Sus scrofa: one gene and its partner. The protein of the gene in region 2 interacts with the protein of the main gene of each other region in a pairwise test. Links are inferred from orthologs where the notes say so. Each region holds a gene or a part of one and is shown on either strand. Other genes may lie near its edges.

Evidence for each region.
Region 1: the proteins of EPM2AIP1 (region 2) and PRTFDC1 interact in binary tests that used the Homo sapiens proteins (3 or more experiments, as listed by UniProt). The two-hybrid records come from large-scale screens. The link is inferred for Sus scrofa from reciprocal best matches to the Homo sapiens genes EPM2AIP1 and PRTFDC1.

What each region holds. Positions count from the first base shown.
Region 1 is NC_010452.4:50,364,360-50,368,108, reverse strand, and holds the start of PRTFDC1 (phosphoribosyltransferase domain-containing protein 1), read right to left. Parts: upstream 2,456-3,749; 5' UTR 2,324-2,455; coding exon 1,949-2,323; intron 1-1,948. UniProt on the Homo sapiens protein: Has low, barely detectable phosphoribosyltransferase activity (in vitro). Binds GMP, IMP and alpha-D-5-phosphoribosyl 1-pyrophosphate (PRPP). Is not expected to contribute to purine metabolism or GMP salvage.
Region 2 is NC_010455.5:21,876,776-21,880,524, reverse strand, and holds the start of EPM2AIP1 (EPM2A-interacting protein 1), read right to left. Parts: upstream 2,663-3,749; 5' UTR 2,380-2,662; coding exon 553-2,379; 3' UTR 1-552.

The DNA of each region.
Region 1 (3,749 bases), on a different chromosome or scaffold from region 2:
CCTCCACAAAACTTTGTTCCCTAGGTATCTACCACCCTGTCAGCTCTCTTCTACTTTGCTACTCATTCTTAGTCTTCCTATCTGCCTTCTCCCAGACACTCTGCTTCTTACACTGGGGGCTTTCCAGGTTTCTACCCTTAACTATGGTTTTACTTCCTTGCTCCACCCCATGTTCACTGGGCATCGCTCTCTAATGCCAAGCATCAGATATTTTTCTATTTATTGACAATTTCCAAATCTATCCAATCGCCCTCCTGAATTTCAAATAGGAATTTCAAATTGCCTCCTGTGCATCCTGACCGTAGGCTTTACAGGCACTATAGGCTCAGCTTCTCTTAAATTGAACTTAATTTTCCCATTTTATATTTTCATCCCCCTCCAACTCACCCCATCCCTAGGTCTAACCATCCTCTCCATGGCACCTGGAGTGACTTTAAAAAAAAAAAAAAGCATAAACTGGATGCCATGATTTCTTAGAATGTGAAGATTTCTTTGCACTTGATAGGCATTGCTTGGACAACCCTTCTTCAGAGTCTGTACATGGCTACCTACTGCTTAGCTAGCATCTCTTGTCATCCAGAGAGGCCACTCCCACCGTCTGAGCTAAAGCAGCATCCCCGGCCCTCCTGCGATCACACTTCATCTCATGATCTCTTTTCTTTTCATTGCACACATCACCATCCGAAAGCATCTTCTTTATTTATTTGCTTTCACACTGCTTGTCTGCCTTCCCCTCTAAAATGTAAGCTTCAGGAACACAAGGCTATGTCTTGTTTCCCCTGAGCCTAGAACACTACCTGTACCCCAGCAGGACAGTCAACATTAGTGGGATGCTTATATAAATGAATGCCTTCTCCTTTAGGAGGGTAAGGTCCGGCTATGAAATTAATACTGGGCAACATAGTACAACCTGAACAGGGCGGTTAGAGTGAGGGCTTTCCAAATCCAAACTTCCTACTCTTCTAGTCCTGTCCCAGCCACAGATTATCTGTTCATCACAGGCTGATCTCAAAACAAAGACTCTTCACGTAGCAAGTTAGCCCCACCCACCACTCCTCACCGCCGGTTCACTTTAAACCTGACACATTAAAACCACCACCTTCCACTGAAACCATTCTCTTCCGAGCAGAAGCCGGCGGGCCACAGGGCAAGCCGTGACTGGAATCAGGACACTGAGAGATGGCTGCCCACCGGGTGATGAGTGACTACGAGCAGTTCCCAGGGATAAAGAGCCTCTGGTCTGGGACCCCAGCATCCTACATCCTCTCACCCGCCACACTTTTAGACACCCTACAATCATCCTCTCCAGCTGGCCCCACAGGCCCAGCGTGCTGTGCTTTCCTTTTGCAGAAACTGGCGCTTGCTCCAGGGGCGCTAGCGTGTCCCGACCGAGCTCGAGCTCGTGCAGAGGACCCACAGAAAGGAGTCTGAGCCCAGGTTTCAAAGCTCAAACTCCGTCCACTAGAGCTACTTTATTTCCTAGCTGCCCTAGAGAATCCTCAGTATCCTTTCTGGAAACAAAACGTGAAGCCTACACTGGAAGAGTCAGGGGGGAGTACAATAGGAGGAGTCCCACAAGAGCGGCCCGCGGGGGTCTTCACAGACCTGCCCGGCCCCCAGAGGTGATTCCTGTGGCCAGCAGGAGGGGGACCCGGCACCACACAGGCTTAATGCTGGCGGATTCCTGGCGGAGGCGGAGAGAACACTGACAACACGGGGTGAAGGGATGTTAAATGTGGGGTCAGATTGGGCTCGGGGGTGGGGGTGGGGGTGGGTTGGAGGATGGAAGCGATCCCGCCGGAGGGAAGAACAAAGCCGTGGCCGCCCTCTCCCGAATGCATTTCTGGCGTTTAATCGAAAAGGCGGGGGGAGGGGGGTGCCAGGAAGGGAGGGGAGGGGAAGGCGCGGGGAGCGCGCGACTCGGCCCGAAATCGGAGTTTGCATTTACCACCACGCCTCGCCCGTAGTCTGGCGCCTCCTCACTGCTCCCGGCCATGTTTCTCCGGGGAAAGCGGGAAGGAAAGAAGGCGCGGGAAGAAGCCTGGAGGGTGACGGGCCGGGAGGGGGAGGGGTGGGATGTGGCCGCCCCGCCCCGCCTCGGTACCGCGGGCGGGAAAGCCACGGCGCGCGGACGACCCCACGCCTGGCGCGGCTCCAGCGCCTCGGCCGGCGCCGCCAACTCGGGCCGGTTCTCGAACGCGGGGCGGGGATGCGGGGCCCGGGGCGGGGGCGCAGCTGCCGAGCGGCGCGCGCTCCACCTGAGCGCTGGCCCCGGCGCCCGCGCGTCTCCCCTGCGGCCACCGCCCGCCTGCGTGCTCCGCATCCCGCCTTCTGTCCCGCGCCCCGCGGGGACTCGGGAGACCCAGGCTGCCCGCGGCTGGGCTTTTACAGAAACAGAAACGGCGCCCAGGTCCCCTGCCTCCCTAAGTCTGTCGTCCCAGCTTTCAGGCTAACGAGGTCCTTGAATCCTTCCTGCTGACTTGTAGGCGCTCTTTATCCCAAGTCCATCCACGAAAGAGTCTGCGGTATGGGATATTCTCCAAGTACGGCTGTGGGCGAAACTAGGATGTGTTCTTTAAGTCCTCGAACTGCCCAGCCAGGGGTTTGAAAGAGCCGTGCGGTGGCCCATCCCTGAACCACGCCCGCGGTTACAGGATTAGGACTTGGAAATAGGGGCTTTCCTTTACCGCTTTCAGGGCGAAAAAAAGATTTTTTACTCATTATCTACTTTACCACTTTTGTAAGAACAAACGGTCAAATTTTGATTTTCTCAGGCTGCAGTTTAGAGCTGCCGATTAAAAAGCCTCCCTTGAATCTTTTGTTAATTCAACCCTGATCCCAGCCTTCCCCCGACTGAGGGTCCCGGTTCTTTGTCCATTCCTCAAGGGCCCTACTTTCCCTTTATATGTATTCATCGCCTGGTTTCTGCAAGCTCGCCTCATCCTTTGCAGCTCTGCTCTGGTGGGAAGCCCCGAGCTGAGGGCGGGTCTCCGACTCGGACCTCTATTTTGTTCATCTGTGGGTTCTGGCACAAGGCAGGGAGTGGAATGCTGATTTGCTTGATTCCAGGGGGAAATGGTTATCAATCAGTTAATGTCGCCCTGGGTTGCAAAAACCAGACGTGGCTGTGCTCAGCCCTGTTTGTCGTTACCCTGTCGGAAGTGACAGCACGGGAAAGGCGGGCAGCTCCTTGGATCGCTGAAACTAGGCGCTGTGCTTGCAGATTGGCTCCCATAAACCGAGTGAAAGTGTTTCTTGCACAGGTAAACGTTTTCTCTCAGTAACTGTCAGATGTCCTTGTCTGGGGCAATTTCTATAGTCTCACTCATCTCTTTTCTCACAGGTGAGGGGCCATCTGCTATTTTCATTGCTAAAGACTGAGCCCAGGAAGCATCTTCACAACCTGAGTTCCAGGAACTGAAAACTGATGATCAAACTTTAGGGTTCAGAAGACTCTTGGGTAGCCAGCCACTTCCCTACTCCGCACATTCTGGTGGAGAAGCTGTGTGTTCAGACTCAGAAGTCTGTGCTGCTAAGGCACCCAAGAGAATGAGGCAGAGGTTGCCAACCATGCCTTAAAGATGCAAATTCACATTTACCCATAAGAGCTCAGAGTGTACACTGGGTCTTAAGGAACACAAAAGTTACAAATGTCAAAGTTACAGGTGTAGTTGCTCTATAGAAGTCAAAAAGCAACAACGGTGGGAACTGTGGGAAATGATAGATACATCTTCTTTCCTTAGACTGTT
Region 2 (3,749 bases):
TCAGAAATGTGTCTAAAAAAATAGTCTCAAACATTTTGATAGTTAGACAAAATACCTCCTCTGTATGTACGTTCTTCCTTTTCAGAAACTTCTGCACTTGTTAATGTGAGTTTCTGCAAACTGGCTCAAACATACATTTAAGGAGTTGATAATTTCAGACTATACGCATCAGAATCTCAACGCTTTGTTAAAATAAGAGCTAAAGTTTCTTTGAAACGTCTTAAAAACAGACTCCTAATTCAACTCACATGATTAATACTGAACTTTTTAAAAAACAATTATATCATAAAAGCAAAAGATAATGACTCTGCCACCAAGTTTTGAAAAAAGGTATCTGCATGTTTCAGTCTCATGCTGCCTCTTGAAAAGAGGAAAAAAAAATTGTCTGAAGCATTTGAATTGTGAAAAATGTCTGCGATGAAAGTTTTTTCACTTTGGGTGAAAAAACATGGTACTCTCCCACAATCCAAATTAGTAAAGTTGAAAATCAAACATATTTTTGCTTTTAGAGTTGGATTCTTGTTGAGTGTTTCGGTGTTGTACTACAAAAGCTTATGGATTCGATTCATTTCTTCCTCTCACAAGATCATCCCATTGAGGCTCTATTTCAGTGGTGGCAATCCGAAACAGGGCGTGGAGGTGTTCGTCTGTCAATGGGTGGCTCAAGGTGTGCTGGTTTCGAGTCAAATATGAAAAAGCCTTTTCACAAATCTTGCTACTATCAAACAAGGATGCTACCTTACAGGCAACCCCTTTGATAATTGGGTAAGATTCAGCAGACAGTCCGGCATAGAATTGCCCCAAGTCTTTGGTTCTGTATTCGTTCCAAAGATTAGTATTTGCCTGAAGTTTTGTTAGCTCCACCCTTACTGAAATAGGTGCATATTCAGCTTTAAAGCTAAATGGATTTGCAAAAAGCTCTAAGTCCTTTTTAATGAACTTGAGGTCCTTGAAATGTCTCTCAAATTCTTTTTGTAGGCGACAGATCACTACTTGATACCTTTCAGGATCAAGTATTTTTTCATCTTCTTGAAGATGCTCTTTAAGCTCATCAACAACTTCTCTCAAGGCGGCAAAGTGTGTTAGATTTTTTTCCTCGATATGTCTCTGAAGTAAATTCAGCTTAACTTCAAAGGTACAAATATGGTCAAAGGCAGCAGCAGCAAAGACTTTACTTACTCTCAATAGTTCGCTGAGTTCTCGAAGGTGGTCCATAATATCCACCAAAAAGCCAAAGTCACAAAGCCACTGCTTGTCTGTGAAATGGACCGTTGTTGCCCCTATTGAAACCAAAAATGTTTTTATCTCTTTTCTTAAAGAAAATATTAGTTTTAAGGTCTTCCCTCTTCTAAGCCAATTGTTCAGACAGCGTCCATTAACCCTTTCACCATGCTCTGATTCCGATTCAGTTAGTAAAGCCTGAAATTCTGGCCGCCTAACGCCTCTGGTCTTAATCAAAACTATCCATTCAGATATGGCATTTATGATCTGATTAACATCCACATCGTAGGAGCTCAACAGTTCCAAGTGAAGAAACCCCGAATAATGGATAACATTCCAACAGTTGGGGCTTACAGCCTTTTCTCTCATGTATGACACCAGCCCTGAGTTCTCACCAATCATCCTCAGAGTGTGGGTCGTGGTCAGTCCAACCATCCGCTGCAGGCTAAGCCCTGCAGTTTGCAGGGCCTCAAGGATTGCCGCCATGAGGGCACCAACACTGAAGTGCTGAGTCAGGTTGATGATGGTCAGAAGCTCTTCCTGCACCTCTAAATCGTGGCCCACGCCGCGGACAAAGACGAGGAGGTAGTTCTCATAGGCCACAAAAGCCTGGTCGTCCAACGCAAGGGAATAGGCCTTAAAGTCCTTGGCTCGGTTAAAAAGCTGACTGCGTAGATTCTGGTTAATGTCTAGGACCCTCTGCTGCGTGATCTCCGGAGATAAATCAATGCCATCCATAACGCCTACGTGATCAGGCAGCACATCTCTGAGCATCACCTCCATGCACCGGTACACGAAGTCCCCCTCACCCCAGCCGCGACCCTTCAAGGCCAAGAGGCGGGTGAGCCCGAGGCCTGCACGAGCAGCTCTCTCCTCCGGGGTGAGCGGGGCGGCATCGGGCAAGTCGCCCTGACGCAGACGCTCCACCAGGGCCGCGCGCTCGCCCTCCGCCACATACCGCTCGTAGTAATCGTGCTCCGCCTCGTAGTGGTGCCTGACATCGGGTTCGCCATTGGCTACGACCAGGCGGCGACAGACCAGGCACAGGGCGCCTTCGCCTTCCGGAGGCTCCACAACCAGGTAACGCTGAGTCCACTCGGCCTGGAAACCCCGAGGCTCCTCGATTTCCATTTTGCTCCTCTTGGGCGTCATCCACATCTCACGGGAGACCACTGGATCTGGGCCGACCTCCCGGAGGCCGCAAGGAGAGGGGAGGAGCAGGAGCGATCCCCAAGCGCCAACTCCGCTCTGCGCCAGATCACCCCAGCTGGGGAAACCACTGGGGTTCCGGCACCTTGATTCCTATTGGCTGGAGATTTCGTATTCCCCTGCCGCAAGCATGAGCCAATAGGAAGAGCGGACACTGATTTTTAGCGCGCAGGCGCATATCCTTCTCGCTGCAAAGTGCACTAAAGCCGCCTAAGGAGGGCTAAGAGAACAGGAATCATGGAGCTAAGAACTTGACTGGCATTCAAGATGCCCAATCAGTACCTCTCTGTCCCGGAAGTGGTGTTGCCGCTAGAGGGCGGGACGGGACGGCGTCAGCAGTGTTGCTGGAAGGATGTGGGTGCGAAGCTCTAAGGAGATTGGCTGAAAGCCCTTCCAGTGAGCGTCTCACCGTTACACGGCCTGCTCTGGCGCCAAAATGTCGCAGGTACCGGGAGTTATCCGGCGGTTGGACGAGACAGTGGTGAACCGCATCGCGGCAGGGGAGGTTATCCAGCGGCCGGCTAATGCCATTAAGGAGATGATTGAGAACTGGTACGAAGGGAGGAGTCCAGGCTTCCTTAGAACCTAACGGGCCACTGCTCAGGATGGCGCGGACACGCCTCTCTGCCCTGAGTGGAGGGGTGTGCCGCGCGCCGCCGCCGCGGGGAGGCCGGGGTCCTGCCTTCCTCTCTCCCGGGTCCTCGAGCGTCCCTTCGAGACTTTAGGGTTGATGGGGGCACAAAGAGAGGGCGATACAGTATTGTTTTAATGGTGCCATCAACTAAGAGAAATTCTAAAATTATATGTGCAGAAGATGCAACTTTTTAAACGTTTAAAAAGCTTTTTACATTTAAGAAGAAAAAACACCCCTCTCTTCATCCTTCAGAGGGCGTCAGTTTCTTGCTTATTCTGTATACATTCAGAAGTACAATTCCTTTTTAATTTTTTTTTTCTTCTCGGGCCGCTCCCGCGGCATATGGAGGTTCCCAGGCTTGGGGTCCAATCGGAGCTGTAGCTGCCGGCCTACGCCAGAGCCACAGCAACGCGGGATCTGAGCCGCGTCTGCTACCTACACCACAGGTAGGTAGCAGACGCGTCTGCTCACAACAACACCAGATCCTTAACCCACTGAGCAAGGCCAGGGATGGAACCCGCAACCTCATGGCTCCTAGTCGGTTTCGTCAACCCCTGAGCCACGATGGGAACTCCTGAATTTTATTTTATTTTATTTTATTTTTTAATTTTATTTATTTTATTTTATTTTTTTTACTTTATTTATTTTATTTTATTTTTTATTTTATTTTATTTTATTTTACTTT